Linked DNA regions of Elephas maximus indicus. The protein of the gene in region 1 interacts with the protein of each later gene in a pairwise test. Links are inferred from orthologs where the notes say so. Each region holds a gene or a part of one and is shown in the gene's direction. Other genes may lie near its edges. The genes, in order: ADAMTSL4, APOL6 and SHFL.

The links.
Region 2: the proteins of ADAMTSL4 (region 1) and APOL6 interact in binary tests that used the Homo sapiens proteins (3 or more experiments, as listed by UniProt). The two-hybrid records come from large-scale screens. The link is inferred for Elephas maximus indicus from reciprocal best matches to the Homo sapiens genes ADAMTSL4 and APOL6.
Region 3: the proteins of ADAMTSL4 (region 1) and SHFL interact in binary tests that used the Homo sapiens proteins (3 or more experiments, as listed by UniProt). The two-hybrid records come from large-scale screens. The link is inferred for Elephas maximus indicus from reciprocal best matches to the Homo sapiens genes ADAMTSL4 and SHFL.

The regions. Positions count from the first base shown.
Region 1 is NC_064821.1:184,674,555-184,678,243, forward strand, and holds the start of ADAMTSL4 (ADAMTS-like protein 4), read left to right. Parts: upstream 1-1,251; 5' UTR 1,252-3,347; coding exon of another isoform or gene 3,348-3,391; 5' UTR 3,392-3,519; coding exon 3,520-3,539; intron 3,540-3,689. Other genes in the region: translation initiation factor IF-2-like, read right to left, coding at 201-1,036, 1,144-1,204, 3,348-3,391. UniProt on the Homo sapiens protein: Positive regulation of apoptosis. May facilitate FBN1 microfibril biogenesis.
Region 2 is NC_064822.1:179,138,170-179,141,914, forward strand, and holds the start of APOL6 (apolipoprotein L6), read left to right. Parts: upstream 1-1,461; 5' UTR 1,462-1,690; intron 1,691-3,745. UniProt on the Homo sapiens protein: May affect the movement of lipids in the cytoplasm or allow the binding of lipids to organelles.
Region 3 is NC_064821.1:28,234,754-28,238,498, forward strand, and holds the start of SHFL (shiftless antiviral inhibitor of ribosomal frameshifting protein), read left to right. Parts: upstream 1-1,321; 5' UTR 1,322-1,563; coding exon 1,564-1,584; intron 1,585-2,043; coding exon 2,044-2,167; intron 2,168-2,348; coding exon 2,349-2,398; intron 2,399-3,745.

The DNA.
Region 1 (3,689 bases):
CCAGGTCAGTGTGACTCCTAAGTCAGCGCATTCCTTCCGCTACGCCCAGTGTGTAAAATTTTATGGATGAAGAAACCGAGGCTCTTAGAGGTCCCCGAGCCGTCAGAACCACTATGATTCACCACCCAACTTGGGAGAGGCAGAAGTGACTGGGTGGCACCGTTGGCTGCGTGGAGAAAGGAGCTTTGACCGACACGGACCTGGGGTTGGACGGGGCCATCTCGGCCCGGTGCACAGCCTCCATCTGGGGCCCGGGGCTGGTTCGCCTACGCCACCCAGCTGGACCCTTGGCGCCTCTCCAGGCTGCCCCGCCTGGGCAGGTGCCGCGCTCGCACCGCCCACCCAGAGCCGGCCCTGGGCCGGGGGTCCGCGAGTCCGCGAGCCCCAGCCGAGCCCAGCGCGCGGGCCGGCGACAGTGCCCGGGAGAGACGGCTGCCTCCAGCCCAGGCTGCGACCGCCTTGGCTTCGCTCCTCGAACCGTCGGAGGGTGCCCGACACTCAGGGGTCGCCGTGGCCAGCGGCCCCGGGTGGGTGGCCCCGGCCGGTCGACAGGCAGCCGGAGGTCGGCCGTCCCCACCCCGGGCGGCCGAGGGGCGCGTGGCGGCGGCGGGGCGGGGCGGCGGCGGGGCGGGGCGCAGGGGCGGAGCCGCAGCTGGAGGCGGCAGTGTCCCGAGCCCTGTTCTGGGGCCACAGTGGCCGCCGCGGAGCAAGGCTGTCTCGAGAGAGCGCCCGGGCGCAGAAGGGTTAACCGGCCCCTGGGGGCGCGGAGAGCAGGTACAGACCCTCCCTGGGACCCCGGCCACGGCCGCCCCCTCTTCCCGGTCCCGTTAGACCGGCCGCCCCGAACGCGCGCACCGCCCCCGCGCCTCGCGCTCCTTGGTCGCGCCCCCGCCACGACCCCGACCCCGGCACTTAGAGCCTCGGAAGATCTTCCAGACCCTGGGGTCGAATTCCCTGGGGCGGGGGGGGGGGGGTGCGCAGTCTGATCCTGTAGAACTCTGGCCCCATCACTCGGGCGGGGAATAAGCCAAAATTCCTACTCAGTCACATAGTAAAATTGGAAAACATACCCAGGACCTCCCGGCATGCGCCGACGCCGCCTCCCCTCCTCCGAGAATGTGTGCCCCCCACTCCGCCTTTTACTTTTTGAGGGGAATAGGGGCGCTGGGAGGCATGCAGGTGGGTGCCCTTGATCCAGCTTAGCCTGAGGGCAGAAGAGGTCGACCAAAGGAAGGACACCTGTTGGTACAGTCCTCCAGGACCCAAGAGTGGAGGACATGATGAGGACCGAAGAGTTCTGACACAGGACAGGGACTCTCCACCACCAGCCCAGAAACATACTGTTCAGCGGCTCCCTATTTCCCAGAGGTGGGTCCCTCTGGGTGTTGAGGAGTTAGCCCTGCCCAGGTCTTGCTCCTTGATCTTCACTGGCCAGTGTGAGGAGGTGTGGCCAGGAGGAGCCCAGGTTGTCGAGAGCAGCTTCCAGCCTGGCACCAGAGTGTCCACTTCTGACGTCTCCTTTCCTCACCCTGGGCATTGAGAGACACCAGATGAGGGATGTGAAAAGGGGTGTGTGCCTGTTTCCAGAGAGAAGGGGATATCTGCCCCCTGCCCAGCTGTGCAGGGGGGTGGGGGAGGTGGGACTTTTCCAGAGAGGGAGCCAGGCCTGGCCTGGGCCCCAGGAGCTCACGTCACTCCACCCCCCACCCTTCACTTCTCTAGGGATATGCCAAAGCCAAACCCAGCTCAGGACGGGATTATGTGTCCTGGGTAGACCCATGGAGAGAGACAGCGAGATACAAACCTCTGGTAACAGAAGCACAGACAGAGGGAGTACAGAGGGGACCTGGCAGCAGAGAAGGGCAGTGAGGGTCTTCCTCCATCTCTCCTTCGCTTCGACCTCAAGTTAGGGTTTTCAAGAGTCAGGCAGAGATATGGAGATTTGGGTGGAACGTAGGCCCTTCTCGGGAGCCCCCAGCGTCCCGCCCATCAGGGTGTAGTCTCTGACCTCAGTGGCTGGCCTAGCCAGGGGAAGGAGCTGCCATCGGCCTATCTCCCCCATCCCAACCCTGAGCAGCAGAGGTGACCCTGCTTGACCACTCTGGTCTCTCCCTCAAATTCGCAAGTCCTGGGGTCTTAGAGAGGGGAGTGGGTCTGGGTGTTGCTACCCCCAGGCACATTCCTGCCCTCCTCTCTGTCATTTTCCTGCCCTGGAGCTGGCCCACCTCAGCACTGGCTCCTTGGACTCCTCTTTGGGTGCCTTTCAGCTCCAACAGAAACACACTTTTTTTTTCCTGGAAAGCAGAACTAGAAGCAAAATGGTGGGCTGGGGATGGGAAGGGCTCAAAGGAAGAAGGAGGGGGCTGGAGGGCAAGGAGGGGTGGGCAGAGTCAGGCTTTAAGGTGGGGAGGGTTCCAACCCCCACTTCCCCAACCCTCAAAGCTAGACTTCAGGGAGAACTTCCTGAATCTTGAGAATGATAGGCCTGTGATTGGGGAGCAAGGGCAGCCCTGGCAGCCTCTCTCCTCAGGTTCTCCTAGCCTGTCACAGTTGCACATGAAACAAGCCCTCATTGAACCAGTCCAGGATCCTGGCACCCAGTCCATTAACTCATTGCCATTGAGTCAATTTCAACTCATGGCAACCTCATATGTTAGAGCAGAACTGTTCCATAGGGTTTTCTTGGCTGTCATCTTTATGGAAGCAGATGACCAGGACTTTCTTCCACAGTGCTGCTGGGTGGGTTCAGACTGTCAACTCTGAGGTTTGTAGTCAGGCACAGACCATTTGTGCCATTCAGGGACCTCTGGCCAGAGTGGAGCGTAAATCGCAGTGGGAAAATCATCTGTTTCTCTTGAGATTAAACCATCAACCCACTTAGTTTATCCCTTGGCTCGAAAGTTTTTGAGGCAGGCAGAGATGTGCCTGACTGTTCCATAAGGAGCTTAGCTAAGAAGGAAAGAAAAAGCTGGGAGGTAGGAAACAGAGATGGCTGGGGAGGCTCTTGTTTCTGGAAAACCCAAGGGGCTCCTTGTCAGATCCTCGGAGGGGACGTCTGGCATATCCTCACCAGAGCCTCCTTCCTCAACTTTCCAGGTACCCCTAGGGGGCAGGAGGGAGACCCAGATGAAAACCATATTAAGAAAACTCTGTGCTGGCCTAGAAACACCCAAGTTGGGTCTAGGGAGGAGTCAGAGGTTCCTACAGGGCCAGGGGGAGGGGACTGAGCCAATACTTGGGAGGCTGAGGTCAGACCCCCACCCTCTAGCTTCAGCAGATGGACAAAGGCAGTATGACTCCCTGCTCCCACCCTTAGAATCATAAAAAGGTGGGCCAGTCTCTCCCACCCCTCCATCTTCACTCTGAGACAGCCTTCTGAGGGCTCATCCATCCCGACGCCCCAGCTCTCTGAAGACTGAAGTAACCACGAGGCTTCCCTCCCCTCCACGCCCAGATGCCTGAGTAGTGCATTTACCTCCAGTCCCCTTCTCCCTAGCCCTGGGCAATCAGGGAGAAGTGATGGAGAAGTGGGCCGGCAGGTAAGAGGTGGGGCTGCCAGGGTGGGGGGAGCTCTGTCCCTGGACATGAGGGAGGGGAGAGCACAGGGAGAGGCAGGGGAAGTGATGAGTAACTTGTGCTTTCTGAGAGGCTGGTGGTCAGGATGTGGGGAGCTGCTGTGGGTAGGCGTG
Region 2 (3,745 bases), on another chromosome or scaffold:
GCCAAGAGGCCAAAGAGAGGCCTGCCTGTGGGCACAGCTGAGAAGGAGCTGTCCTGACAGAAGAAATGTATCCTGAGTTATTTCTGATCCTGAATTGTAACCTGTTAACTTCCCTAATAAACCCCATAATCATGAGTTTTGTCTGTGTGGCCATCGCAATGAATTATCAAAGCCGGCAGAGACGTAGAGAGTGCCATAGGGGGGACAAATGGTGTCAGAATTGGTAAAAAGGTTGGAGAGAGGAGGCATGTCTGACCTCCGCCTCGTAGGGATCAGCTTTGGGCTGTTGACGTTGATCTTGCTTCTTTCTCCACCCCCTCCTGAAGTTAGAAGGCGTCAGATGCTGCCATCATGCCATTTTATACAAGTGCCGTTTACCTCGTAGAGTTGTTCTAAGGCTCAGGTAAGATTCGTGTAGGAAAGTGATTTTGAAACATCAGCGCAGCTACTGTTGTTGTGTGCTGGTTCCACACTGGGCATTGTGTCACTTACTCACTGGAGCTATGTTCATCCCCATTTTACAGGTGGCAAATCAAGGTCAACTGTAGTTGAATAACCTGCTCAAGGTGATACAACTCCAAGTGGTCTGCTTGCCTTCAGAAACCTTGTGTGACCAGAACTGTTGCTGCAATTGAATGAGTTCCTTGCCTCTCACTGGTCAAGAATGAATAGGAAAGGCAAGGAGACTTTTCCACATGAGCAAAGCTTCATTATTAAAAGAGGCTTGCAAGCAGAGACGAGGAGGGCCTAGGCAACCCTTACTCCCGTCTCACAGAACAAAGGATTTGCATGGGTTCTTAAAGGTTTTTGGGTGGGAAAAGATTTATGTTTATTCATAGGTATAGGCGGGGTTTTCCAAGAGGTGGCCTGTCTGGGCAGAGATACGTTAACTACGGTGTGAGCGCGCACAGCAGCTCTCTAAGATAGCTTCTGTCCCGGAGGCCTCTGGGATTCGTATCAGGACTTATTACGGGGCGTTGCGTCTGTGCGGTCTCTTGCTCCCCGAGTTTGATTCACTGGCTGCAGCTATAGCTCCTCACTGCCCCTGGTGGAAGGTCACACAGTGGTCACAGGTGGATGTTCTGCTTTTGTCCCTGGGGCTGCTTTCATCCCGCTGCTTCTGAAAAACAACTTTAAAGAAGTTTGTGGGCTGTTTTCTGATACCCTGCCCCATGGTTCTGGGAAATGGCTTTGTTTCCTCCTCACCCTGGCCCATTTCCTGTTACTTTGTTACTTTAATTTGTTTATGTCAATTGCACACTGGGGGGCCCCTCTGTCTCCCTGTCTTAGAACCACTCATTACACTGCCCAGTACACAGCTAGGAAGAGGTGCCGAGGAGAGGTGAATTCAAGCCTTCTGACTTTGGTTCAGCACACCCACAATAGTGCGCTGTGCAACTATTAGACAAAGAAGCAAAAAGAAAAGTGAAAGACTGAGCCTTCTCAATAACCCCACCTCTACCAGGAAATGATGTCTTGTGGGTTTTCTACACCCAAGGCTATTAACTTCAGCGCAGTTTTGCAGTTTCTTCCCAGAGCCACCAGCAGAGCCTGGGTCCCTCCCTCTAGTCAGCGAGCCCTACCTGAGATGCTGCCCTTTGTGCCTGTCCATCTGCTGTCCAGACACCAGCTCAGAGACCCTCAGAGATGTGAGAACCTGAGGCTACCAGAGACTGCTTCCTGAGAGAAGGTAGGACAGCAGGCAGAGCAGGGAGGGGCTGCTTCTGGGGCTCCCTGAAGGACAAGCAGCCAAAGGGGACAGCTACCAGTACTTTGGTTCAGGAAAAAGGGTTGTTGTCAGGACAAAAAAACCAACCAACTGCTGTTGACTCTGACTCATGGCGATCCCATGTGTGCCAGAGTAGGACTGTGCTCCACAGGGCTTTGGATGGGTGATTTTTTGGAAGTAGATTGCCAGGCCTTTCTTCCGAGGCACCTCCAACCAGGGCTCAGCCCCTCTCCAGCCAGTCAGTCACTAACTTTGTGAGCTTGGGAAGGGCCTGAGGTTCAACTTCTTTATATGATAAATCAGGATCAGAAATTCTCCTTCACGAGGCTGTTTGAAGTTTAAATGAAAACATGATTAAAAGTGTGGTAATCTTTTTTTTTTTATGACTAGCCCTGGTAGTGCAATGGTTAAGTGCTTGACTGGCAGTTCAAAGCCACCCCGTGGCTCCACAGGAAAAAGTTCTGGCGATTGTTGCAATAAAGATTATGGCCTAGAAAATTCTATAGGGCAGTTCTACTCTGTCACATGGGGTCTCTGAGAGTCAAAATCAACTCAGCGCCACCTAACAACAACAACATGACTAACCAAATTGCATCTTTAGCTGCAATGGCCATCCGAGAGTCCTAGATGGGAATGGCTTGGCTCTTAAAATATAAAAGACTCCATCGGCCATGGGGATTTTTCTAGAACTTCTGTACAGGAATGGTTTAGGAGTGATAGCTTTGTAGGAAAGCGATGTTGGTGACTTGTCTCAGGATTGCAAATTAAGCCCACAATGCTTTCTAGTTCTTGTGAGTTACCATGGAGTAGACTCTGACTCCAGGCAACCTTATGCTTAACAGAACAAAACATCGCCCGCGGTCCTGCACCATTTTCATGTTTCCTGGATTATAAATTTATTTGGAGTAGTTTGAGGAAGGGAGTGGGGGAGTTGGTGATAAAGACTAGGGGATTATCTCAAAGCTGTGTTTTTCAGAGTCATTTAGATCTGAGTTGGATTATATGTTTGAGGGAGTTGGCTTTCAGGGGAAGGAGCCATCGAAGAGCACGGAGGAGCTAAAGCCTCTCCAGGCAGTTAGAGAAAGACTGCCAACACTCTTTTATAAGTGCTAATATTGAAATAACTTCTCAAGTCCTCTCCCACCCATTCCATCCCTCTTCCAACATAACTGTCCCCCACATCCACAAAGCAAGCTTAATAGGGACCTGATCAGACCAAAGAGCTGCCTGCTGTCCCTGTTGCCCTTCATCCCATAGGGTTCACATGAAAAATGGGGGAGGAATCAGAGGGTGCTGGTAAAGAATGGGGCTCTAGACCAAGGTTGCTCAACCTTGGCACTATTGACGTTTGGACTGGGTAATTCTTTGCATGGGGATCGTCCTGTGTATTGTAGGCTGTTTAGCCTGGCCTCTATCCACTAGATGCCAGTAGCATCCCCCTCCCTAAGTTGTGACACTCAAAAATATCTCCAGACAGTGACAAATGTCCCCTTGAAGAAGGAGCAAAATAGCCTGTGGCTAAGAACCACTGTTCTAGACTCATACTAGCTGCGATCACACTTTCCCAACATTGGCCTCCCTGTGCCTCAGTTTCCTCATCTGTAAAATGGGGATAATGCTACCATCTATTTCATCTCACAGGGTCACTGAGAGAATTAAAGGTGTATGGAGTATTTGCCCATGTCTGGCACAAATAAGAATCCATGCCAGTTGCCATCAGGTCACTTCGACTCATGGCGGCCCCACATGTGTCAGAGTAGAACTGTGCTCCATAGGGCTTTCAGTAGCTTAGATTACTGGGTCTTTCTGCCAAGGTACTCTGAGTGGACTCGAACCTTCAGCCTTTCAGTTAGGAGCGAGCACATTAGGCATTTGCACCCTCAACCCCAGAAACCCCTGACCATTTACTGAGTTAGGCATTTCCCTGCATATTTCACTGGGAGGCTTAAGGGGGTGAGTTAATTTTCCTGAAATCACACAACTATGAATGACAGAGGGAAGGGTTGAATTCACTTT
Region 3 (3,745 bases), about 160 Mb from region 1:
TGACACAGTGGCTGGAACAATGGGCTTAAGCATAACAACGACTGTGAGAATGGTGCAGGACCGAGCAGTGTTTTGTTCTGTTGTATACAGGGTCGCTATGAGTCGCAACTGACTCAATGGCACCTAACGACAACATTAGTACATATTTATAAATTAAGTATCCATATGGGAGACAGAGAATCGACATTTTTATTGATTTAAAAAAACAACACTTGATGCCGTCGAGTGGATTCCAACTAATGGTGACCCCATGTGCTACAGAGTAGAACTGCTCTATAGATTTGTCTTGGCTGTAATCTTTATGGAAGCGTATTGCCAACCCTTTCTTCCTCAGTGCTGCTGGGTAGGTTCAAACTACTAACCCTTAGGCTAGGAGACTAGCCCCAACAGTCTGCACCACCCGGGGACTTTTTCTTTTTCCTGATAGGGTGTACAAATGGGGGGAAAAAAAATTGGAGCCGTTTACCCTAACGTAATTTTGCACTCCAGGGGACATTTAGCAATGCTTGAACACATTTTTGATTGTCACAATTGGGGCAGGATGCTACTGGCATCAAGTGGGTAGAGACCGGGGATGCTGCTAAACAGCCTGCAATTCACAGAGCAGCCTCAAACTTCAGGCACCGGCTAAGGCCTCAAGCTTCAGGCACTCTGTGCTAACCCTTAACTCCTCCGACAAACCATCCCTGACGCCCCCTGCTGGCCCAGAGCCCCTCTTAAGGACTCCTCCAGTCCCCTGTGCGCTGGGTTAGAATTGTCTTGACCCATAGGGCTCTCGACCTTCAGATTTACAATGCAGGTGCCCCGGAGCCCCAGATAGTCTGATTCCAAAGAGCTGCTACGGGTCAGGGGTCTGTATTTTTAACAAGTATCCCTCCCGTAGCCCACCCGCCCCTTCGTACCTGGCACAGAGTACGCGACTCAAAGACTATTAGCGTGCCCACAGCAAGCCAGGTGCTGCTCAGTGCTCTACCCGAGGTCTCCTGACCCCCCACCAGAATGTAGCCACTACCATCATCCCCATTTTACAGAAGTGTAAACTGAGGTCCAAGGAAGGGGTCATAGCCTGTCCAGCAACTCAGCGCCAAGAGGCCCAGGTCCTAATTAGCGCCTGATTCCTCCGGAGAGAGAGGGAAGGAAAGGAAAGAAGGTGACGACCGATGGGTCCCCTCGAGCTGTGGAGGTGCGGAGACTTGCAGCGGCTTTCCGATGCAGCCCCGCCCCCACATGGGACGTGAAGACGCGGACCCCGCGCAGCGTGGGGACATGTGACCGACTGCAGAGGCCGCGCCGCCCCCCCCCCCCCCACGCGAGGTCTGCGCGCTCCACTGCAGGGCGCGGACCAGGGGCGCCCGCCTGGGTTTGGGGCGCAGGAACAGGGGCGGAGCCAAGGCGCCCCGCCCCCCCGAAACGAAAGCGAAAGAGGGGGCCAGGAAGGAAGGGCGGGCTGGCCCGAGGCACCGCCCCCTGCCCTGCGCGGCCGCCGGATCGACGGGCGCGCCCAGGTAGCTGGGTGGCCGGCGCTGCGTGCGGACCCTCGCGGGGACCTGCGCCGCCGCCACCATGTCTCAGGAAGGTGTGGAGGTAGGAGATGGCGACGGCCGCGCCGGGGGCCCGCGAGAAACGCCGGGAAGGGGCAGGGGGTGCGGAGGTGGCTTCGCAGTTCCCGGGAATCCCCATCATAAGCCCAGACCTTCCCCCTGGCCGGCGCGCGCCACTGTGGGAAAGGAGAGTGATCCCCCACATACCCTAGAACGAAATGCGGCCTCCCCGAGAAAAAGCGGGGGCTGCTGGGTCAGGGTTCGAAGGCCAGAGGTTACCTGGCCGGCCTCGCCTTACCCTGGGACGCTTGCCCTAGTCCCTCCCCGCTCCATTCCCCAATGTCCGGTGGGGACTTTGGCTTTTTCCAGGAAATGCCGTGGGGGAGGTGGGCAGAGGCCAAACCCGAGGGTCAAGTTCAGGCCTGGTGCTTGGTGCCAGGGGGAGGGGGAGGGGCGTTTGCGCCTCTCCTCCCCCATCGGAGCCCCTCTATCCGCGCCCAAGCTGGAGAAGAGCGTCCGGCGCCTCCGGGAGAAGTTTCATGGGAAGGTGTCCTCCCGCAAGGCAGGGGCTCTGATGAGGAAGTTTGGCAGCGACCACACTGGAGTGGGGCGCTCCATCGTGTACGGTGAGCCGGTGGGGGTCCCGGGCCTGGAGGGCTGCGTGTGGGAGCGCCGAGGGTGGAAAGAAACGCTGAGACCACCTCCTGTGGATCCCCAGCCTCGGGAAAGGTCTACAGTGGGCTCTGGGGGCCTGAAACTCCCACAGCGCCTCAGGGGCCCTTCACTTACGAGTTCTCTCTCCACCAGAGGTAAAGCAGAAAGATGGACAGGAACTGAGTAATGGCCTGCCTGCCCAGGTAACCTGCCCCCTTCCCTCAAGAACAGGGTAAAGAGGGAGAACAGAGAGGATCCCCCCACCCACCCACGGAGAGCTCCCTAGGGAGCAGGAGGGACTGGGCACTGCCGGTCCACACTCTTGGTCCAACTTCATTCATGTATTCACCTCTCTATTGTGCGTCCAGCCAGGGAGGTGGCAAACAGGAGGTGCTCGATACATGCTGGTTGTATTAAATCAGAGAGAGAGAGATACAAAAGTAGGCAGTGGCTCGAGCCAGCATTAATGTCAATAAGGGAAATCCCTAGAGATCAGGGAAGGCTTCTTGGAGGAGGTAATGCCAAGTCTTAAAGGACAGAGAGGAGTGAGCCCTGGGAAGCGGAGGGGACGCAAGAGGGAATGCCCTGAGCAAAGGCTGGAAGGTGAGAAAGGGGCACCTGAAAAGGCTGCGAATGAGCAGACTGGGGGCGGGGGAGGGGAAGTGCAGCAGGGAGCCCCTGTGTTGAATGAGTGAATGAATGAAAGGCTTTGAAGCACAGGTGTGACCTGGCTGCTTTGCCTTTTAGAAAGATGGTTTTGGTGGCTGGTGGACTGGGGATTTTGCCTGCTGAAAGGCCTGGCGTAGAGTTGTTGACGAGTGATAAAAATAATAGCAAAGGGGGGCACTGACGGAGCACTTCCCATATGTGGGGCTGAAGGATTTATAAGTGTTGACAGATTACAATCTCACAACAACCCCACAACCCCACAAGATAGAGCCTATTAGGTGTCCTCCCCATTTTACAGACAAAGACACTGAGGTACAGAGTGATGAAGTCACTTGCCACGTTCACACAGCAAACAGCTGGGATTTGAACCCTAACCACCTAAGAGCTCTGAGATGCCCCTCATTATGGCCCAGGGTTCCAAAGCTGGAAGTGGTGGAGCTGGGATTTGAACCTGGGTCTGTCTGAATCCAGAGCCCAAGCACTTAGCTAAAGGAGCACAGCCCCAGAGGCAGACCTGTCACCATGCCAGCAAACGTGTGCTGGGGATGGGGTGCTCACAGTCTGTCTGCTGGCAGGCAGGGAACACAGGATTCAGGCCTGCTGCTCCACACTCACTCAGGGTCATCGCCAGCAAGCCCCCTCATAGCTCTGAGCCTCAGTTTCCCTATCTGAGCAATGGGGATAACACACTTCTCAGGGCTGCTGTGAGCATAGCTGAGATGACAGGTGCAAGGTCATACACCTGGCTCTCAAGTGGGTGCTGCTCAATCAGCTCATCATGAGTTAAGGGGCGCCCTACTCTCATGGGGGGCCAGAGCCCTGCGTCCCTTTCTGGACTCCAGAGCAGGAGCTCCTCCGCCAACAAATGAGGGTGGAAAAGA